Linked DNA regions of Drosophila melanogaster. The protein of the gene in region 1 interacts with the protein of each later gene in a pairwise test. Each region holds a gene or a part of one and is shown in the gene's direction. Other genes may lie near its edges. The genes, in order: CG32809, CG42788 and CaMKII.

The links.
Region 2: the proteins of CG32809 (region 1) and CG42788 interact in a two-hybrid assay, tested with the Drosophila melanogaster proteins (one large-scale study listed by BioGRID).
Region 3: the proteins of CG32809 (region 1) and CaMKII interact in a two-hybrid assay, tested with the Drosophila melanogaster proteins (one large-scale study listed by BioGRID).

Annotation. Positions count from the first base shown.
Region 1 is NC_004354.4:1,688,601-1,696,598, reverse strand, and holds the start of CG32809 (uncharacterized protein), read left to right. Parts: upstream 1-3,830; 5' UTR 3,831-4,160; exon of another isoform or gene 4,161-4,302; intron 4,303-5,241; 5' UTR 5,242-5,286; coding exon 5,287-5,392; intron 5,393-5,465; coding exon of another isoform or gene 5,466-5,468; coding exon 5,469-5,519; intron 5,520-5,586; coding exon 5,587-5,726; intron 5,727-5,790; coding exon 5,791-6,399; intron 6,400-6,411; exon of another isoform or gene 6,412-6,720; coding exon of another isoform or gene 6,721-7,419; intron 7,420-7,475; coding exon of another isoform or gene 7,476-7,697; intron 7,698-7,829; coding exon of another isoform or gene 7,830-7,950; intron 7,951-7,998. Other genes in the region: a6, read left to right, coding at 1,127-2,356; b6, read right to left, coding at 6,721-7,419, 7,476-7,697, 7,830-7,950.
Region 2 is NT_033777.3:15,126,982-15,135,084, reverse strand, and holds the start of CG42788 (uncharacterized protein), read left to right. Parts: upstream 1-3,158; 5' UTR 3,159-3,477; intron 3,478-4,225; exon of another isoform or gene 4,226-4,331; intron 4,332-8,103.
Region 3 is NC_004353.4:1,046,354-1,054,190, reverse strand, and holds the start of CaMKII (Calcium/calmodulin-dependent protein kinase II), read left to right. Parts: upstream 1-2,812; 5' UTR 2,813-2,848; exon of another isoform or gene 2,849-3,497; intron 3,498-3,581; 5' UTR 3,582-3,671; coding exon 3,672-3,736; intron 3,737-3,798; coding exon 3,799-3,893; intron 3,894-4,944; coding exon 4,945-5,004; intron 5,005-5,632; coding exon 5,633-5,687; intron 5,688-6,042; coding exon 6,043-6,368; intron 6,369-6,461; coding exon 6,462-6,556; intron 6,557-6,615; coding exon 6,616-6,738; intron 6,739-6,800; coding exon 6,801-6,927; intron 6,928-7,837. UniProt on the Drosophila melanogaster protein: A key regulator of plasticity in synaptic physiology and behavior, alterations in its activity produce pleiotrophic effects that involve synaptic transmission and development as well as various aspects of behavior. Directly modulates eag potassium channels.

The DNA of each region.
Region 1 (7,998 bases):
GCTACTTATTAACAAAAAAATTTCTTATTTTTGTACTAAATGCCTTCTAACAGTTATTTTCATTTTGAAATATCCCACCCAAAACTAGTGCTCCACTTCTGATCGCAAGACTCCGCTTGTAAGGCCTTATGTTCCTTTCAACCCTGTAGTAATTTGAACGGAAGTTTTGGGGCTTCACGATTTTTGTGGTTAATTTCCAGGCATCCTAAGTCTGCGAAAATTAATCGAAGGCATGAAAAGCCCAAGGGCGGTTGCTATATCTACATCCGCATCCGGAGGCGACGATCTGCCAACTGACTCCAGCTGGAGTCGGTGTCTTCCCTATCGTTCCGGTCCTCGTACGGATGTGGAGTGAAAGCTCTCCCAGATGTGAGTGAAAGCTTCTGAAAACAGAGCGCCGGCGCCGATTGAGTGCTTCTCAAAATTGTGGGTGGTGCCAAAATTAGCTTGAGTGCTTTGTCTTGAGATAAGAGTGTTTTACTTAATAGGAATTTTATCGGGGCTACCTGGTGTCCAAGTCGCTGGATTTGCTGGTGATCCAAAGCACTTGTATCCTTCTGTCCTTTGCTTCGAAGCTTCATTATTTTCTCTAGCTGATTTTAAATAGCGCGCCCAAGTGGCGAATGCATTATCGATAACTACCGACAGATACTGTTTGGCCAGTCGACGTGCACGGTTGCACGCAGCGTGGACTATCGAGAGAAGCGTTATCGATGTGTGGTCGCTTATCGATGCAGTTTTATAAACAGAACTCTAAAGTACAACAAAAGCACAAATTAAGCAGCTGCCGCGCGAAAAAACAACCATCTCGGCCCCGCTCGCATCTCGGCATGTCCAGCGGCGGGAGGCGCAGCGCCTAGTCCCGCGCCTCCGCTCCTCTCAAGGAAATCCCCCTGCGCCGCCACGCAATTATGCAAGTTGCAGCAGTGGATCTAACTGTACTCGCCGCCAGTGGAACAGCAAGAGGAGGAGGAGGAGGAGCCCCACGGGCCCGAGCCCATGACCCTTGACAACCCGTGGCAGGCACCGCCACCGCTAGAAGACGAGTCCACACACTCGGTAAATAGGTGCCCACCAGTGGCCGACCAGGCGTCACAGACTAACTCTTCTCCTGCCGCCTATAGACATGAACCAGAAACATTCCGAACCATTCTACATATCGCCCCGGCTGTTCGACAACCGTCGTCTCAAGCGGCGCCGCTGTCGGTGGATGGAACGCCTGCTTGAGCACCAGCGGATCTGCATGGCCCGGATGCGCGACCAAGTGGCTCTCGCCTCCAAGACTGACCGGCAGCTGTCCCATCTGCAGCGGCGCCATGTCGCCTCCACTTTGCAGCCGGACGTGACCATCGACCTGCTGTCGGATGACGATGAGACCCCATCGGCCGGACAGCCCGCTGCAGCTGGCCACAATCGCCTCCTGATTCCTGCCCCAGGGCACCGAGCACATAGAACGGGCAGAAGGCAGGCGCCGCGCAGAGCTGCCACCCACTCATACCCAGTGACCGACAGCATCCTGATAACCAGCGATGACGAGCACAACGAGCAGGAACCCAGCAGCACGGCAAGAGTGCGCTCCCAGCTCTCCATGCGCTCACCGCCACCGCTCGCACCGCTCACACAGTCGGAGACCATCGAAGAGGTAACTGTTTCGTTGGTGCCGCGCACCTCCACCACTGCCAACTGCCTGACGCGGGTGTCAGGTCACCCCAAGCCGTGTCGAGCGTCGACGGCGGCCAGCAATGGATTCGCCACCGCCGAAGGCGGAGAGGGCGGCAATGAAACGGGCTGTTTTCTGGAGGTGGACGTGGGCGGAGGCATCACAGCCACGCTGCCGGACGAGACGACCGTTCACACGGTCATCGCAAACCGTATTTACGAACTCTCGCTGAGCAAACTACGCGAAGGCCTGGCTTTTAGTGGAGTGCCGGAATACACGAACGACCTGATGCCGGAGCAGCTGCAGAAACTGTCACCGGCATTGCGCGCCAAAGTGGCGCCCTTGGTGGCTCCCTCGCCGCCCACGCCCATCTCCCTAAAACTGTCCAGCGACCTCAGCATATCACTGATCTCAGACGAAGACGATTGCGAAAGCACCGGTCCACATGTCAACGGAGGAGTCGGCACCGAACCGGTGCACCCCGTCGTGGTGGCTGCGGCGGAGGCACACGCTGCCGCCAAGCTGCTCAAGCAGCAGCAGCCACAGCTCTCGGTGGTGCAGCATCTGCAGTACGTCGGCGGCGGACTCGCAGCTCCAGTGGCTCTTGCCCTTCCGGTGATGGCAGCAAATCCGACCTCGTCTGCTTCCGTTGTTGCCTTGCCGCTGCAGCTGCCGCGGCGCCGAAAACTGGGATGAGCTGGATGACTGATGACCGATGACCCGCCAGAACCGAGTCCCCATCGCCATAATATCATTCCCCGAGCCGGAAGCACGGCATAGACTTTAACTAGCAGTGGCTAGAAGTGCAAATATGAACGTAGGTTTAGCGACAACACATCACTATTTCCCAGTTATCCTTGAATCCAGGACTAGTCCTTGTCCGGTCGATTTTTGTATCCTTCCCCTTTCCCAAGCACCTTCTCTCCATCTCACTCAGTTGCCCATTAATCTCCCTGTCTCTGTCATTCTCATATTTTAAGCTTTAAATGAAACGAGACGACAACGTACAAATGAAAGTAGAAAAGCATCAACCCATATACATTGTTGAGCAAAAAACACAAATTTCAAAAGATTATAAGAGGGAGTAGAAAATTTGAAGCGAGTGAGAAAGGTGAGCCCAATATTTATAAAGTACAAGTAGCTAGCTTAAGATATACTATGTATATGTACATTTGATTTAGTGTATCATATATTACATGGCTGAATCACGTCGTGTAATCCGTCGCAGTCCGCCGTCTGTATTACATTAGCTGATCACCAAACCGGAATAAATTTTCATTGTATATATATATATATATACATGTACACCAGCTGTGAGAAAAGGAAACTATGCGTATGCCATCAAGGTTCGTTTCGACCAAGCGCTCCTTGAACCACGACTGATCTCTGGCCAGGATTTCGTGGGTGAACTCGTATCGCGCTAGGGCACTCTTAATATAGAGCGAGAGTTGCGGCAGGAGCAGATCCTCAGAGTGGCTGACAAAGTCATGGGATCCTTGGTCACGCGCTTCAGTCGCTGAGCATGCTAATGCCCGCAGTGGTGTTGCCGCAAAACTGTCGAATACAATCGTAAATGAAAATGAAATCGAGTTGCATCTTCTGTGGCCAAACTCACTCGAGTGTTGTCCACGTGCGGCTTGATCGCGCCAGAGTCAGCCAAGTCCAGGATGTGCACGAAGGGCATGACCTGCTCACCGAAGGAAACTCACGAGACGTGATCCAGCGTGGCCTGGTTTTGGGGAGTCCACTTTCGGCGTTCAACTTCGCGGTATCTGCCTGCGAAGTTTAAGAAGTTTAGCCAGAAATCCGATACTATATAGTCTCTATATATACCCACCCACGTCATCACAGTGGCTCAACTCGTACGGCAAGCGGCTGATGTGAGGCTCGATTTCCCGCATCAGTAGTTGCTCCTCCTTCGCAGTGATGAAGTCCCTGATGACCCGCATGTCCGATTCAAACTGGTGCTGCTCACAGCGAGGCCACTGGCCGGGAAACTCCACCAGGGCGTGGCTGCGGGCCCAGACATCCGCTGGAATCCTGGCTACTCCCGGATAAACAAGCCGGCGCAGGACAAGCATGTGTTTCGTCACCTGTTTTTAAAGGCCTTCCGCCCAGTAATCGATTGGAGCCATTCGATAGCCACATGCGCTCAACCGCCAAGAAAATTACTCGATTGCCCCGGCACCAGGTAAACACACACAACAGAGCAGCGTCGGAATGCAGGGATGCCAGGACCTCTGACGGCTGGATGCCAGGGAACTTCGCTGGTCCGGGAACACTCGATTGGTAACGCATGCGCCGTGCAAGCACGCAGTCCTCGTTCGGCTAGGGCGGAAACGCTTTCCGGTGTAGATATACCAGAAATATTTCTGCTCTTCTGGCGTTATGCTGCGTCGGTGGACGAGTGCCGTGTCCTGACTCCAGAAAGCTGTGTAGTGACGAGTGCAAAGCGAAGCGAATTGAATCGAATCTTTATCCTAAGGACACGGCTAAATCGGTGAGCTCCTCGAGCTATGAGCACCTAGACCCGTTAATTGTGAAACCTTCCTGAATCGGCAAGGCAAGTGCGGTTTGAGAAAATGCCAGAAACATCGCCGGTGAACCGCCCACACACCCCCAAAGGTGCATAGGTATACAAGGTACAGCTAGGACGAGATCCCCCATGAAAACCCAAAGGAATCCAGCCAACTGACCGCTGACGTGTGTGGAAAAGTCAACAGACACGAGCTCCCCTCCACCGTGTTTAATGTGCACTCGTGCCCTGGAAACTGGACGCAACTGACACAATTAATGGCGGCTGGGAAAAAACGGGCCGGGGCACCGCACCTAAAACTAATCAAAAATTCCTTTAGTGGCCCGCAATAATGCCGATGGGCAGTGAATGTGGGTGGCTGTGTACATATTCCCAGGCACTGGCACTGGCAAAGGCAAAGGCATACTAAAACCCGTGAAGTGCTGCACTGAAAAGTATACCATGTTTCGTGTGTACCCATCTCTGCGTCCGTTTCCTTTTGGTGCCCCTTCCTCGGATTTCTTGCTCGAGATAAACATGTACATGCAGCCAAAATAACTTGACATGCCTTGTTTAAAGCAACTTCCAACTCCAAAAACGTTTACATATGCAAAACAAATTCGAAAGTGATTCGTGTTCTCTCAGCAAATGGCATCTTAATGGCAACTGCGATGAACAATTGTATTCGGCCAACACTATTGTCTGTTCTGCCAGCCGCATTTCTGGGGTCCCGATCCAGATCCGCATGCAGTTCCAGATCCAGCTCCAGTCACGCCTTCCGCTCTGTCCTGCTTTCTTGCTCCATTCCGTGTTGCAGAGCAGAGTTTGCGCACTCCGTTGCATACTTTTTGCATTGAGCACTGGCACTGCCACTGCGAGGCTCCACTCCATTCCACCACACCCTGTTAAAGAATGTGCGAGGATACATGGTTTATCTACACCAAAGTTGCATGTTGTGTGTGTGCGGTTTAGCGTGTTGTTGCCGGTACCAAACGTAAACAAAGACCAAAAAAATAAGGACATTTTCACGTTACCCATACGCCCCGTTGTCTCTCATTTTCTGCAGCTGCAACATAGCCACTGAGCTCCGCACATCTCAAACGGCTGCAGGATGTTGATCCGTTGGAAGAGTAAGGACAAGAGCGCCTCCTCCAACCAGAGCGTCGGCGGCAGCAGCAGCTCCTCGTCGAAGAAGAAGCGCAAGGGTAGAGAGGGCGGTAAGTAATCGGAATCCATAAATCGGAAGGAAGCGAAATGAAATGAGCCTAACTCCAGCTCCCTCTCTTTCAGAAGAAGACTGGCAGAATGAGGCAAAGTCGGGACGGCTTCCGTCGAATGAACAGGGTATGTTAAGGACCAAAGACGTCCACGGATCTGTAGCCCCATCCTCAGTGTCTATGTGTTTCCCCAGGTGGCGACGAAAGACGACGAGCCATGCGACGCGACGATCCACGACGACATACGCTCGGCGGCGATATGCTGGTCTACGGCTCGCAGCATCCACACGCCCATCAGATGGCGCCCCAGCAACAGCGGGCCATGGATCTGGAGGTGAGCTCCATCTCCCATCTCAACTCGTTTCTACCATCAGTTTCTGATTCTTGTCCCTTCTTAGATGAGTACGCGCGCGCAGAAGAACAAAAAGAACCAGCCGATGCGCGGTTATGCGCCTGTTAACCAGGGACCGCTGTTCGACGACGATCCCGGCATCATGTCGGAGGTGGAAACGGCCAGCACCGGATTCCGGAGGGGCGGCAAGCAGCGCTCCTCGCTCCCCGTGGTACGCACGCCCTCGAAAACTCTGGAACGACCGCTGGGCCTGGTCTTTCTGCAGTACCGCTCGGAGACGAAGCGCGCCCTGCTGCCCAACGAGATCACTTCGATTGATACGGTGCGCGCCCTGTTCGTACGCTCGTTTCCGCGCCAGTTGACCATGTCATATCTGGAGGGGCCCAATGTGAAGATTTACATTCACGATGCCAGCAAGGATATGTTCTACGAGCTGGAGGACGTGCGCTCGCATCTGCGCGAGATCAGGGATCGCTCCGTGCTGCGTCTCTTTGAGTCCACTGAGGTGGCAGCCCCGCCCCAGATTCTGCCCGGCGGCCCTGGAATACCCCAACCCCTGCCGCAGGCGCAGGCCAATTGGGATCAGGATCAGAGCTACTTCAGCGAGCCGGAGTTCGACTCGGACTACAAGCACCAGCATATCCACAAATCAAAGGTAAGTGCTGCTAGATGGTATCAGTTAAATAGTCCTTTATTCAATATCACCGCGTAATTGCTAGGGTGAGGATGTAGGGCTTAGGGAAGCAGGATGGATTGGTGTCCATGAGCGAGTCAAGGATTGTTTGGTGGCCAAATGGGTGGCAACAGTAAAGCGTTGACTCCCACATGGACAATTGTGGCACAAGATGCCCAACCAATCGAATACTTATTCGTACATATATAGAAAAAAAAAAGATATGGAAATAATGGGGTGGGGCTGGGAAAGCTTAAGCTGGGGTCCTAGGACACTAGAATGTTATCCGAACTTTGGGAACAACTAGAAGTTACCACATGGACCCACACTGAGGCCCTTGAGGGCGTTGTTCATGTGCTCGCGCACATCCTTCCACGAAAACACGATGGCACCCTGGAAAGGCTCCGTGTGGCAGCTGCTACAGATGGCCATCACGGCCCTTACCTCCTCCTCGGCGGGCTCTCGGTCGTGCGTGCTGATCTCCTCCTCCAGGCTCATCTTGAGCGTAAGATCCTGCTTAAATTGCTGTCCGCCAAAGTCGGCGAGACCGTTGTAAATCAAGCTCCCATCCGTTCCGGAACCGACACCGTCGTCCACCACAGATCCATCGTCCAGCAGCACCAGGCCGCGCTTCTGAACCTTCTTAGTGGCGTCGGTGTTCCTCTTGAACTGGATGTGGGTCTCCGTTTCGTCGATGAACTGCACGTTGGCTGAGTTACTTAGCATTTGGAAGCGTTTGCCACCGCCACTAGGCTGCAATCCGCTCGGCGGCGAGAGGCCAAGGAGTTGCTGGGCCACCAGTCGCGATCCCGCGTTTATCTGTCCGTTCACAAAATTTGTGTTGATGGTGATGGCCTGCTGGGCGGAATCGGTCGGAGCTCCGGCCGCGCCAGGAGCGGGAGCACCACTTGCAGTCGGCGGCGGATTGGCCAAGTTGATGCGCACCCGGGTCGGGATCTGGCCACTGGCGAGCAGCGTGTGCATGGGTTGAGGACGATTAATCTGAATGGAGGTCTGGCGTGTTATATTGTCTCCGTGGGCACTGGTTACGAACTTACCGAGGGTGGGGCACGAGTGGTGCTGGAGACCTCCTGGCCCTCGTGATCAAAGTGGTGGACATGGTGGTGCTTGTGGTCGCGATGCGCCTTGCCTGCACTGAGCGCCACCCGATAGACCTGGACGAGCGTCATCTCGAAGTGGAGGCCGTGGCTCACCTCGCCGGTGACCGAACTGCCGCCGGAGCGCAGCTTGCCATTCGCTGGGATTTTATGTCCCACCAACTGAAGCAATTAAGAATTAAGTGGAGACGGAGATTTGAGATTATAGCAGCTGACATTCGCACGCCGAAAGTGAAAACGCGAACAAGGCATTTTGCAATATGCGTAATTGGAGTCAAATGGAGTCAAACTCACCGAGTTGTGGAAACCACGCCCAATGCGTTCTGCCTTCAGCCAGGCCTGCCACTCGCCCGTCTTGCCATTCCACGAGCTGCACATGTGATGCCACTGGCGCATTTTCAACGGGTAGTTCAATCTTGAGCAGAAAAACGATAAAGATTCGACGGATTGACGCCGGATTGAT
Region 2 (8,103 bases), on another chromosome or scaffold:
CGAACGCGGATGTAAAATCTTCTATTCTCTCTGAGAACATTTTGGTGTACATTAAATATTTTCTGTTTTCTTCTTTAATTGTGATATTCGCAAAAAAACTACAATCAAACGTTCAAGTGATGCAATTGGCGATGCTGAAGCATCTGCCGTTGAAAAAATGCGTACTAAAAGGAATAAACCACTAGTGGAGCGCCAGAACGAACGGGGCTCCAAGCAATTTACAAATTATTTTCGTCCACTACAAACTTTAGACGATGATAATGATGATAAACCTATTGAAACGGACACACTTGATGAAATAATAATCAAGCCACCTCCTATAACATTAATTAAACAAAATACAAAATTTGTACACGAGCTAATGGCTAAAATTAAAACTGATGATTACTTTATTAAAACCATCTCAATTGGAATTAAAATATTTTTACCAAATATGGACTGTTTCAATGCAGCTTGTAACCAACTCAAGGAACATAACTGTGAGTTCTACACGTACAATACTAGATCAAACAAGCCATACAAAGCCATTTTATCCGGGCTGGATAAACTACCAATTGAAACTGTCAAATCCATGCTACAAAACCTAGGATTACAATGCACCGAAGTCAAAATTGTGGAAAAGAAAACTAAGTCTGATCATGAATTATTACTGTACATTGTTTATTTCGTAAACAAAAGTATCACAGTAAAGGAACTGCGCAAAAACTTTATGTATGTCAACCACACTAAAGTACGCTGGGAGTATAAAGTGAAATTGCAGAATAAAATTACTCAATGCTACAATTGCCAACTATTTGGACATGGATCAAATAATTGTTCAGTTAAAACATCATGTGCCCATTGTGCTGGATCACACCAGACTGCCGTATGTATGGACGTAAACAACAAAAAATGCGCTAACTGTAAAGGCGACCATCCATCGACAGAACTGACATGCCCATGCCGAATTTCTTATCTCAATTTACTTTCCAAACGCTCATCACAACGCATTGGAAGAAATAACTTGGAAGCTCATGGAATGAGGAATTCTAAGCAACACATCGCTCCATCTGCTCTCTTTGGAAATCAACCCCAGATCTCATTGCCTACTCAAACTAAGAGAGTGCAACAACTCAACTTTGGTAGCTATAGTAATGCACTCACCAATATTCATACTTTGCCTAATCCCAAAGCAAATATCACAAGTGAAACTAATCTCTTTTCATGTGAAGAGATAAATTCTCTTTTGTCTGAATTAATAACAAGATTTAATGAATGCTCCAATAAGGGAGAGCAATTTCAAGTAATTTCTCAGTTAGCGATTAAGTATGTTTACACAAACAAATAATTTTATTGATAATTTGAATATTATGGCATGGAATGCTCGTGCCGTTAGAAACAAACGTATAGAACTGATCAAGTTCTTAGAAAATAATCACATTCACATAGCACTTATAAATGAAACGTGGCTGACTCATAGTGACCGTTTTAATATACCCGAATACACTATATACAGAAATGACAGGAAGGAAAGTAGGGGAGGCGGCGTTGCCATTGCAGTTAGTAACACATTGATACATGAACAAATACCCTGCATTAAAAGTCATGTTATTGAAAATGTAGGTATACAAATCAACACTGACTCTAATTCCAGTCTAAAAATTTACTCTATTTACTTTGCTGGAAATACTTCAAAATGTATTCCTAGTTCATGTGATTTATCTTGGGACCATAATCATTTAAAAAGTTTGTATAGATCTGATCTCCTTAAGATCTCACAAATAAATGGAAATTTTCTAATTTGCGGGGACTTCAACTCGCGCCACAGAGCATGGAAGTGTACCCGAGCCAATGGTTGGGGCAAAATTCTCAATGAACTTTCAGATCTGGGAAAATTCAGTATTTTGTACCCTACGCAACCCACATATATTCCGCATAACCATAAAGCAAAAGCATCAACATTGGACCTATGCCTCACTAATATCCCTAACCAGCTGGCTAATCCAGCAGTAATGCAAGAGCTTTCCTCTGATCACCTACCAGTGGTTATTAAATACTCTACAAATTTTATGCGCAATGTAAAAACATATCCGATTTTGGGAAGGGCAAATTGGGCGCTTTTTAAGAGAATTATAAATGAAAGGCTGATGGTTGAAGAGGTGGTTGTCAACTGCTCACAGATATCGACTTTGGATATTGATAATTTAATCGGCTCTTTCACTAGAGTAATCAATTATGCCTTTCTTAAAGCAGTCCCTCATAAACCTATACATCACTCCAAGCTTACACTCCCTGTACATATATTTTTTACAAAAAGAAGGAAACCTCGTTATCTTCCTGATAGACAGTTGCGAATACTAGACTCTCCAATACAATGGGTTGACAACATTCGATATTTGGGTATAATTTTTGATAAAAAACTAACATTTAAATACCACATCAACAACACAATTATGAAAGTTAATAAAATTATTTGCACACTGTACCCTCTAATAAATCGTAAATCTAAATTATCAATATCCAATAAGATCATAATTTTTAAAACAATTTTTAATCCAATATTAATGTATGGGTCACCTGTTTGGGGTAGATGTGCTCAAACTCATATCAAAAAACTTCAAATATGCCAAAACAAGCTGTTAAAATTAATAATGAACTTACCTTATTACACAAACACTAAGTACCTACATATAAAAGCAGGTGTACAAAAAGTTCAACAAAAAATACAATATTAACAATCTTTTGTTTCAAGTCTTAGTTTTTAAGTTAGTTGTAAGTCAATTAAGGTTTTTCTTCTCCCTTGTTTTCCTTAATAAATAATAAATATTGTTATACAAAAAAAAACTAAAAACAGGTCAACTAGACATAATTAATAAATATTTCAGATGAAAGCCTTAGCTAAACACTGTAAATACCTAATTATACCATTAGCTTTAATGAAATGTACATATATATATAAGGGATAAAGCACAAATAAATTAAATTAAAATTAAATTACTGCTTATTACCTTTTCGGGAAGTCCCCGTTTCGAATTTCAAATTACCCTTAAATAGCTAGTACACACTCCCAACTTAGCAGAGACACGCACCGAACTTGATAGCGGGTATACAATGTCGATAACACTTCGTCGATAGATCGATAACACTTGGGGTTTGTTTCAGCTGTTGCCGCGCCAGTCTCATTGTGTTTTTGCATCGCGAGCGGGACGGTCGTCGATTCGGGTTCGAACTGGAATCGGAAATAGCGGTCTAGCGGGCCTTTCTGCCTCTCTGTGTGCTTTTGAAAAAAGTTTGCTTGAAAAATGTGTAAAGAAAGCGGCGCCGCCAAGTGAGTGCGTGTGTGTGTTTTTATGTGTTTGCAAATACAAAGGTAAAACAGCCCCAAAGGCAACAACAAAGTGGCGGCGTTGGCGGCTATAGCGCAGTAGCAGCGACGCAGCGGAGCAGCAGCAGCGACGTCCAGTGCATTTTGGTGCAAACTAATTGTTGTTGTGAGAGGTACGCTATACTCGTATGTGTATGTGTGCGAGTGGGTGTTAGTTGCAGGTGTGCGTGCGATTTGATTTGCATTTATGTTGGGGTTTTGTTTTCAACTTTTCATCAAGTAATATAAACTAAATAAATGAACTATGTGTGGAAATTATTTAATATATATATAAATAAAAATAAAAGTATAATATGAACATGAAAGTTAAAGTTAAATCGTAGGAAATCAACAAATTGAGAATATTAAATTAAACAAATAGCCGAAAAACGCACACAATACAGCAAAAGCAAAGTAAAACTAAAATCATATTTAATAAACAGCATAGGGGACTGTTGTATAAGCATTTGTTTACATAGTGCAAAAGCCCATAAATTGTGCAATTCCCCCAGCAGAGAATTGTTCTCTCTCTCTCTTTCTCGCCGTCCCTTGTGTTAATTGAAAAAAAGTCAACAAACTTCCTGTTTTTTATGTGTCTGCCTCTCTTTTCCGCACTTTTCATAACTGTTGCCGCAGACAACAAGGCTATTATTGTGGCAGTACCGCCCCGCCCCCTGCCTGCGCCTCCGCAGCCCTTTCTTCCGCCCACAAACTCTCTCTGAAAAGGGAAGCGAAATGTGAGAGTGTGTGTGTTGGCAAGAAAGTTTTGTATTTGCTTTTGTGATTTCTGCTTGCTGTTTGATATGTGCCAGAAGTGCGGGCGTTGAAGTTTTTAGTGCAACATTTCTCTGCTCCAGCGGGAGCTTTTATAATGTGTGTGTGCGCTATTATTAAAACCCCCAACGCTCACACACACACACAGCCATGTGCATGGAGCAAAAAACTATGGCCGTGTGTATTTGTGCGAGGCGTTGGCGTTCTGACCAGCAGAAGAGGAAGATGGCGCAGCGGCAAGGGGTGAAAGGAAACGGAAATAAGTGGTGAAATGGGAGAGGGGAAGAGAGTGGGAAGAATACTAAATAAATAAATTAGAGAATCAAACAAATAAGCGGAGGAAAGTAAATAAATAGGTAAATTGAAATAAATAGATGAAATGTTTAACTAAACCAAAATACGGTCGATTTTGTATTGCAAATTGTATGGGGATGTTATATTTACTTTGAATTGATATTTTATATATCCATCTAAATCCATATAGCCATCTAAAAGTTTACGCTGGAAAGGTCATTATAATATTATCCACACTGTGTGAACTAATTATATTAACAGAATTTCGCGGAACACAGAAATCTTGTCGGTTTTGGGGTCAGTTCATAAATAAATCAAACAAATCGGGTAAAACGTAAAAGATAAACATTATGTAAATCAACAAACACCGCCCAAGGAATTCCTGTGCAATTTCGAGTGTTTACCTCTCGCCCACCTTGCCCACACCACCATCCATTCCCTTTCCTTTCCGTCCCCTTTCACCCACTTGTGAGACATAAACGTCGCCGCACATTTGCCGTACCCCCACTCCAATTGGTGGGGTATTGTAATAAAGCGTTTTACGATCTCCGGTGCCTGACGCACTTGTTGTTTTTATGACAGTTAAGCTATTTTGCGTATGACACGTTTGACAGATGCCAAGCGCCCAGTGCTGCTGCCAACGCCGCTGTTAAACGCAGCCCATCTCGCTCCCTCCTTTTCCCAGCCTCTCCACCGCCGTTAACACTCACCACCCATAGTTGGTTGATGCCCCCTTTTTACATGAAACCAAATTAATACTTTGATTTGGGACCAAGCGGAAAATATATTTGATTGAATTTCTTAAGAGCACATTATTGATCCGTTCCATAAACAGTTTAATACTAGATTTTATGAAATTAAAGCTTTAATATTATTCTCATTTGAAATTAGCCTCAATTAAGATAACCAAAACTTTTGGATGCCAAAAATATTATTCCATGCTGTGGCCTGCTCGACCAACATACATATCGTGCCACCCTAACCCACACCCCTTCGCTGGCCGAAAAAGTTTGTGCATGTTTGTTTGCTGCGCAGGCATTTTAATTTCACCAGCCATTAAGTACACAAAGAGTGGGCGTGTGGCATGTTGGGGGCGCAGCGGGTTGGGTCGGACAGAGAAGTTGTCTTTTCGCAGCTCCTTTTACGCATGTTTTCGCGCTAGAGCCCAGAAAGAAGTCGGCATGACATCAATTTTCTCGGCCAAATGTGGCGAACTGCGACAGCGGCAACAACAGCAACAATAAACTGGGCCACGCCTACAAAAACCATAAGCTGCAAACATCAAATATCAACGGCAGCAGCAGCAACAGCTAAAACAACAACAAACAACTGCCGCTCGGCTTGTCGCATGTAATTGCTTGCCGCAAAGTAAATGACAATAGCGCAAGGCAAAAGACAGTGGGGACAAAGTGACGCTGAATGGAATGCTGATATGCAATAATTAGTATCAAGAAATGATTGACGATGCTTGCGATAAATTGATACCTAGGCATAATTTTGATAACCAATAATATAGGAATTGCCGCTCTTTAGCTTGGTTTCATCTTAGGTATATCTTTATTATCTAAGACAATCAAAATGAGTCTCTTCTGATGTTAACAATTTCTTTGGTTTTTTCAAGTATTACGTATGCGTAATTTCTAATACTATGTTCTTATATTACCTATTTCATATTTTTTATTTATTTATTTGTTGTATTATTTTATTCAGTAGTTTTAATAATAATATTTTTGTATGGATTTTACTCCGATTCGTCCCACTGTACCGACAAACAAGCTGAGGTCGGTGTAACTAAAAACCGCAAAAGCTTGTCACTCCCCCTTTCGCACATCGCCCCCGGTTTCCACCTCCCGCCACGCCCCCTTGGGTCGCACACACTTCTATGCTGTCGAAGTAGTTGCTTCCGCTCTCGCGGTTTCGTCGCTCCCGCCTGAATAAATGTATGTACATGTATGTGTGTGTGTATAGAAGTATCTATCGCAGTTGTATCTTTTTGCTGTTGTATCTTTAGCCGCGTACGTGGGCGGCAAAGGCATTAGAAAAAAATATCAACGTCAAGCCCGAAGTTCAAATTCAAGCTTTGAAATATTTGCTGGATGACGTCGGCGTCCAATCTTTTGTCGTCGTCAATCAAAATTCGAAATATCTTTGACGCATTCTGCGGATGCATGCGCCTAGGCTTTGAGTTTCCGCTGCGGACTTCGGCTAAACAAATGCCAAAACCCAAACACAAAACAAAAAAAGGAAACTGATAAGCCAGGCAAACATTTAAACACTAGCTGCCATTTGCGTATCGAATATCGTTTTTGTTTATTATCTTCCCATTATTACTTGTATTTATTTACCTCCTCACTTTTTCGCTTTTTGGTCAAAGCTTTTGGCCATTTAATATTCATTTATTCAGCCATGTTTATTTATTTATTTGCGTGTCTCTCGGTCGGAGTGTTTGTGATTGTGTTTTCTACTTGTGATGTGGGGCTAAAAGACCATAAGACGTAAAAAAAAATAAAAATAACGAAAAACGTGAAATCGCATGCTAGGAGCCATGGCCATGATTTTGAATTTTAGCGGGCCAGAGTCGCGACAAAGAAATCCGAAATAAAATAAAAAAAAAGTATATATATAATCGTAAAGGCATTTGGCATCCATTTGATACCCTTGTGGAGGGTCATCGATTACTTTGATTTGTCATTTCTGCACGTTCAATTTCCTGATATATGTGGGATTCCCAATTTGGTTAATATCTTCGGAGTAAATCTTTCGATCACTTAAAATAGCCTATTTAAAATCAATTAAATGCTATTTGTTGCTTTTGTTTATTTTTATACTTCTTAAATATTATATAATTAAAGGTTATTGTGTAACAAGTTTTTGAGGTAAGCTGTTACCCATAAAACCATAAATTTCTATTAATTTTACAAGCTTCGTTGGCCTTTCCTTCGGTTCACATTTTGAAAGGAGAACAATATTTTAGCTTAGAGAAATCCTGCACTACCAAAGCCATATTTCATTTCGAAAATCATAAATCTCCGAAAGTTTCTGTTGGTCGGAGCGTAATTCATTTAGTTTGTGCGCCAAGCAGGAATTAATTGAGATCTTTTAGACAACTTAAATAAAAATATATGCGTATGTACACATTGGATTTAAAGGAATATGCTTTATATCTGGCTTGACAAAGCAATTTAAATATTTTAATTCAACGACTGCCAGCATGTACTTTTATGGAAATTTTGTTTGGGAAAAACAACGATGCCAATGGGAAAAATAACAAAGATAGAACTGCTTGCCACTCCCACCCATTCCCATCCCATATTCCAATTTTTACCATTTTCCCCACCCGTTTTTTCCCACCAGCGGGGCCAAAAGATTTTCGTAGCTCATAAATTCTTTTGTTTAACTCGTTTTTCTTTGATTTCTTTAGCCGGGCACGTAGCGAACCAAGCGCGGGTAAAGAAAAAAAGTGAAAATTCAGTGGGAAAATTGTCGCTGTCTGTGGCCCACTGCGATTACAGCAGCAGCAAGAAAAGCAGCCTCAAAACTAATTAGTTGCGCTGCATTCAAACTGAGTTTTACTTTTTGCCCCAGACTGCAACTTGGATTGAGTAAGACTTTCATCTGATCCCCGTTGCCGCCCCTTTGTTCACCCAATTGTCCGATTTTCCACCACTTTTCCCCGCCACGGTTGTGCAACT
Region 3 (7,837 bases), on another chromosome or scaffold:
TTGTGCGTTTCAGATATCAGTTTTAAATTCTAATTCATTTGTAAATTGAAGAGCTCCAACAGACTGAAATGAAATGATTACAAATTAAGGATTTCATTTATTTTACTTTAAATAAAATTAAATTTAAATTTAAATATTTATTTTTCTTTTTGTAACATTTTAGGTCACGGTGCGCATGACAAAGTGTTGTGAAACGTTGGTTTGAGTACTTATTAGTCTAACTATGGAGCATTTATGTGGGCAGTTTTATGGAATCACGGCCTAAAATAAAAAGATAATATGAAATATATTACTTTAGAGTTCCAATCAACCCAATAATGTTTAATGCGGAGGTAGTTCAGTATAGTGATATGTGCACAAATTAATGCGCAGACGCTCCTGAAACGAACCGTCGTTGGCAAAAGTTTTCGATTTAACGACATTATGAGACGAAAAAGCTTTTCTCTCTAGCAGTTCATCGAATCAAACGCGGCCGCAAAATCTTGTTAGTCAGTATTGAATTCGATTTTCAAGAAAACAGACGTTCTAAAAATTTCGGTATCTAGCTGTGTGTTTCGTGTTCTCCCAGCTCGTTAAAAACATATACATATAGCTTTTTAAATACTCTTATAAGCATTTTGAACAAACATTTATCAGATCTCCTGAAGTTTAAAATATTGTTATTCGCAATTGAAAAGAACACATCAAGTATAGGTATCAAATTGGATTTAATATACATACATATGTACTCACTTATGTATTTTTATATATATGTATATTTATATAAGTTTACGTATCTATAATACCTGATACAATTCTGGGTCAACACAGATTCTAATATATACATGAGTATACACATATACATATATTTGATATATGTATGGTCTCTTACTGTGTATATGCCAACTAATATTAAATACTTTTTTCGCGCGTATAACGATTGCATATTGTAAAGTTAATATATATATTCACACGCTTCACTTATATCTTAAAAGGACATTTATACAACATCAGTATGTACCCCATTTTGTGCCTTTGTTCAGTTACGCAGTAAATATAAATATATGACACTTAAAAATTTTGTAATTGTTATTGCACAATATACATACATCTTACAAATTACTCTTGATATCTACAAGAAAGTTTAAAACATACCTAAATACTTACGAGTTATGATAAATGCTTTTTTTTTAATTTTAAAAAAGTGTTTCACATTCTATATATCGTCCCTCCTAGTCCGAAAAATGGGTTTAGTAAAACATTTCTGAAGGTCTCATCCAAATAGTATATTTAATTCGCGTACATAGCGCGTGTTTATATGATTTAATGAAAAAGTATAATTTGCAACAAGTAATTTCCAAGACCCTGAAATATCCTTGCTAAAAGGGGTGGGGCGTTTTACCATTAAGCTCATCAAAAAAAGCTTCAACGCATGTAACCTGCAAAGGATACATACCTACATATATATGTACGTATATATATAACTGCTTCCCAGATACATTCTCATAATCAGGATTTTCTTTTTTAAGAAATTAACCAAAAACACCTGTCGCTTTTTTTAATTGATTGAAATATGTCAATGAGAGTTAAATATATCTGGTTTAAAACAAAGATAATAAAGTTTTGATCACAAATTTTAAACTTTTCGTAACATTTGACTTGACAATATTATATTATAAGTATGTTATTTCAAAATTGCGAGGGTGCAATTAAGGGTCTACATATACCTTTTCCAGGGAAACACTTCTTTTTCATGGTGATTGGGTCTAGTTTTAAAAAAACACGTACAACAAACTAAAAACTAACAGTACCGCTGTTACCGGATATGGCAAAAAACAAACCTCACGGAGAGGTATAAAACAAGAGAGAACGTGACAGTAGTTCATCGACTATTTAACAACCCGACAGAAATGTGCAAAATAAAAGAATAAATAAAAATAATGAAACAAAAAAACAAAACACTTTGTAAATGTGTGGGCAAAATCGAAATAAAAGATTTCAAGACTGAAAGAAGCAAATTATTTTTCAAAAAAATTGGAGTTACAGTTTTAGGCGGATTAAATGTCTGGTTCTCAAGAAAACAAATTTGCATGCTTTATCCCATGCCTGTCGTCCGTATCAACGCTGTTACCGCTGAAACTATAATAACTGGAAAGTAAAACGAAAAAATAATTTCCATTTTTTATTCCTTTACTCAATACGTAATATAGGTTAATAGTAATGATTGTTGCTGCTCTTGATCAGCTGGCTATCACACTAGCTTCGTTGAAAAGTATGTAACTTGCAGAACGACGCGTTTCCGAGCGTTTAAACTATATATAGTCTTCACCAGGATCAATAGCCGAGTCGAATTTTCATGTCCGTCTATCTGTATGAACTCCACGATCTCAGGAACTATAAAAGCTAGAAAGTTAAGATTGTGCCATGCCCTTTTTAAGTTTTCGTTTATTTTTTTTCAAAAAATTGTTGAAATTGTTTTGCCAATTTTAATCGGTACGCCAGAAAAATGTTTAATATTCTCGTTCATACTTCCACTAGCTGAGTAACAATTATCTGATAGTCGAAAAGCTTTACTATAGCGTTTTCTCTTGTTTTAATTCTGCAATGGATTCGTATTTTTTCAGGGCCATAGTTTAATTTGATATTGAAAACGCCACTGAGTGGTTGATATGCATATCGATGTAAGGCCCGTTTACACTGCACTAACCGCGGAGTTATGGTTTTACATATGTAGATACCTTTGCTATTTTGATGTGCATGGGGAACAGTTAAGTGTAGCTTTGGTAAGGAGTTGACCCCTATGTTTAATAATCGAGTTTATTACATTTTTCGTCTATCGAATGTCATGTCATCTCTAGGCAACAACAAGGTATCAGATTCAACGTTTGAGATAGGATAATACATTTTCAGACATTTTTCAATTTGTGCCCCCGCACATGTTGTTTCTTGCGAAGTATGGTGTTTTTTCGTATGATTTCATGATCACATGAAAAAACTTCAACCACCAAAATCTTCAAAATGGAGGTCGAGTTTTCTAGTTTAAGCAACGTGCTTTAAGAGAACTCACTTGAATTACCAACTCAATAAGAAACCTGCGGCTGTTTAAAATAACATAACCCTTATATTATTACAAACCATTTAAAATTTGAAGAACTATATGTAGATTGCTGGTCTGTTTTGCATCGACTCCACTGAGTAATATAGAATTTTAAAATTGGAATAGCGAGACATTCTTTTAATTTTACCGATATGTGTTTCTATGAAATAAGTTACCTAATCTGTGCTCTGAATACTTCTGAATTACATTGGCGAGCTTTACTTTACGAGCTTCATGCCCGATCTTATACAGAGAAGAATGCAAGTTTATACTATGATGGCCGGGGGATTCTCAAATACATGCAGTACCCCTTTGGATACCATAGAACCAACGCTGTCTGAAACTTTTGAACCAGCTAGTGATTACTTTATAACAAAATAATATTTAGAGAAGGCCCATGGTACCTAAATGGTACAACAATGTATGTATGTTTGTACGTTGTAAGCAATTTTTTGTATAATTTTTGTAAAACTGATTTATTATCTTATATTTAAAAATCGTTTAGAAAACAAGAAATAAAACTCCTGAAAAGTGAAATCTGTAGAGCAGTTGAAGATCTTTAGTCGCAATAGATTTTCTTAAGTGTGCCATCGCGATGGCTGCACCAGCAGCCTGTACGCGTTTTTCGGACAATTACGACATCAAAGAAGAGTTGGGAAAGTAAGTTTAACAAACTCAAGGTTAATAAATTTATTATAATAACCCGTCTATTAACATTTCAGAGGAGCATTCTCAATTGTGAAAAGATGTGTCCAAAAGTCAACTGGCTTTGAATTTGCTGCAAAAATTATCAATACAAAAAAATTAACTGCCAGAGGTAAGGCTTTCTGTGTTCTATGTAGGTTATAAATCACATATGTACGCATTTATGCTATGCACACGCATGTAGGGAAACTAAGTGCTGTTTTTAGGTAATTCGTCGAGTACAGTAAAAGGGTATACTAGATCCTTGATCCTTGGAAAGTATGTATATTCTTGATCAGGATCAATAGCCGAGTCCGTCTCTCCGTATGGTCGTCGAGATCTCAGAAACTATACAAGCTAGAAGGCATACAGATTTTAGAAACAAATACGCAGCGCAAGTTTGTTGACCCATGTTGCCACATGCGCCACGCCCTCACTTTTGAAAAATGTGTTGATATTTTTTCACATTTGTATTGGTCTTGTAAATTTCTATCGATTTGCTCAAAAAAAAGTTTGCCACGCCCATTCTAACGCCCTTTAACTTCTATCGATTTGCTTAAAAGCCGCCAACCGGTCACGTCCACACTTTGGACCAATTTTTAAACTTTTTTCTTATTTTATTCCCCAATATCTATCGTTATCCTAGAAAAATGATGAAATTTCGCGTTCCCATTCACACTAGCTGAGTAACTGGTATCTGATGCCGTTTTTTCAACGGCGATATGGCATATCGTAAGAAATCAGTAGTAAACATTGACTGTCAAAAAGTTTTCCTGTAAAATGTACTTTCTTTTTGCTAAGTACGCTTTTGGAAGGGACCATTCTTTTTGTGTAATATCTTCGTCGTCCCTATCTATTTGCCACACAAGTATCAAATAGTTCTACAGTAATTAAGTTGTATTTCTTGGTGTTGTGCTATTTAGTAATTAATAAATTTTTACTGCCAAGACGTGGCCAAAATAATTTTGGAATAGCAGTATTGGCAAAGTGTGTAATTTACAAAAAATATATTAAATAACTTTTAAGAAGTTTGAGCATGACAGCTGGGACAAATTTTGGGCTTAGAGAGAACCATTTGCTTGCTCGCCAAAAACCTCTTATTAACATATTTGTACACATGCATGTATGCATATAAGAGATGCTTATAATATATATATATATATATTTTTTTTTTTTGCTTTTAGACTTTCAAAAACTGGAACGTGAAGCAAGGATCTGCAGAAAGTTACACCATCCCAACATAGGTATGCAACGTGTATATAAATATAATTTACTTACTTATTCTTTAAAGATACGTTTTTCTGAAGATGTATGATCTACATAAAAGTAGACGAACATGGCCTAATATCACTTTGAACATCTACTATACATAATTTTTATATGTACATTCAATCACGGCTTAGACCCCAGTAGTGTTGATGACTTGCAATGTGATCCTGATAAAGGATGGTTTGACGTCCACGGTAACACAACGAAGAAAAAAATAAAATAGAGTTTAGTAGATATATCAATCCGCATCTGCAAGCAACATTCCATTCCTCGCCCTCCCTACTCTCCAATAACAAATCTTCCAAGTAATTTATAATTATAATAATTATAAAAACTTGCAGAACAGCAAAAACCGAACTCATGCAATAGACTTTCCTCTCACTAAAAGCGTAACCTAACAAAACAGTTATTTACACGGACAGTTCAAATCTAGAAACATCACTTCCTCCAGCGTCACCGACAAAATATATAATATGTTCAAAATGTATTTTATAAACATATATTTTTATAGCCTTTAAGGCTTATAATCATTGTCATCCGTAAAAAAAAAACATTAAATACAAATGTATACAACTAATAAATTGTTAATATGTACAATTTCAGTGCGGCTACATGACAGTATACAGGAGGAGAACTATCACTACCTTGTTTTTGACCTGTAAGCATTAACCTGCATAGACTCCTTACCAAATATTTAAATTGCCTATCCCCAAAAGTGTTTTAAAAATATGAGTTTCTAACAAATGCTTGTAAATGTGGCAATGACTCGACTATTGTTTATTGAGATTCATACTTCATCCTTTTCCCTCCGTTCGTTCATACTATAATATGAATATGAATCAAATTTTAAAGCCGCAATATAATATATATAATATAATATGAATCAAGTTTTAGCCGCAATATATTTTTGTTATATTAGAGATGTGTTTTCTGCTGTCGCAACTTAAATATAACCTAAATTTAAATTTAGAGCTTCAATCGCAAAATTTGACTATGCCTACATACATTTGCAGTGTAACCGGTGGTGAACTTTTTGAAGATATCGTTGCACGCGAATTTTATTCAGAAGCTGATGCATCACATTGTATTCAACAAATATTGGAATCGGTCAATCACTGCCACCAAAATGGTGTGGTGCACCGAGATCTGAAACCAGAGAATTTACTATTAGCTAGTAAGGCTAAGGGTGCAGCAGTGAAACTCGCTGACTTTGGTCTAGCCATTGAAGTTCAAGGCGATCATCAGGCTTGGTTTGGATTTGCCGGCACACCAGGATATCTGTCTCCTGAGGTATTGAAAAAGGAGCCCTATGGGAAATCGGTAGACATATGGGCATGTGGTAAGCAATTATAATTGTTGTAACATTTGCATGCACATGCATGCCAAACGGCAGTCGGTTACACAGTTCAACAACTATTTTATTTTTCCTCAGGAGTTATTCTTTACATACTTCTTGTCGGTTATCCACCCTTTTGGGATGAAGATCAGCACCGACTGTACTCGCAGATAAAAGCGGGAGCTTATGATGTACGGAAACTATAATAATTTATGTGGATTCATTATATTTAAATATAACTTTATTTTAGTATCCGTCTCCAGAATGGGATACGGTTACTCCAGAAGCTAAAAATCTTATTAATCAAATGCTAACCGTTAATCCAAATAAACGAATAACTGCAGCTGAGGCTTTAAAACATCCGTGGATTTGTGTAAGTGCAGACTAATTTTTCTCTTAGGTTTACATAAAGATAATGAAAAAACATTGTTACAGCAACGCGAACGTGTGGCTTCCGTTGTGCATCGCCAAGAAACCGTAGACTGTCTCAAGAAATTTAATGCGCGGCGCAAGCTAAAGGGAGCCATACTTACGACAATGTTGGCGACCAGAAATTTTTCGAGTATGTAACTTAACTTAATTAATCTTGACCACATCAATATACTTGGCGTCAACACAAAAATATACAAAAAGAATAATAAAAACGCTATGGCCGATTTCGTTGACAATTATATACCCGTTATTCAGCTTGTAGGATTGATATAAATATATTTAACTTCGTATAAAAAATACCCTTTACTCGTAGAGTAAAAAGGTAGACTATATTGTTTGAAAAGTATGTAACAAGCAGAAAGAAGCGTTTCCGAGCATAAATAGAATAATATTCTCGATCAGGATCAATAGTAGAGTCGATCTGGAACTGTCCGTCCGTATGAACGTTGAGATCTTAGGAACTATAAAAACAAGAAGGTTGAGATTACGCAACCTTTATTGATCCATATAAACACTCTAACGACCACAAACCGTACAAAACTGCGACGCCCAAACTTTTGAAAAATGTGTAGATATTTTTTCACATTTGTATTAGTCTTGTAAATTTTTTATCGATTTGCAGAAAAAATTGAGACCTCGTTCATACGGACATGGCCAGATCGAGTCGGGTATTGATCCTGATCGAGAATATACAGTTGCGGTAACAAAATAGCACCATAAGCACATTTTGTGTTTGTCCCAGCGTTTCTCCATTTTCTGAAACTTTTTCAAAAAAAATAATTGTTAAAACAAAAAAAACCTTCAAATTTAGGCGGTAACAAAAATATAACTGTTCCTCGTAGTTTGCTAAAACTAACCAAAAAAATAAAAAAATAATTCAACAAATGGATTATATCTTAAGAACTATGTTTAAAGAATCTTAATATTTGGTTGCGGGACCGCGCATCGCCCTGGCATAGAGTCCACCAAGTCCTGGCCTAGCTTTTGAGGAATAAAAATGACCAGACCCCAAAGATCGTCGTTATTATTGGGTTTGGCTT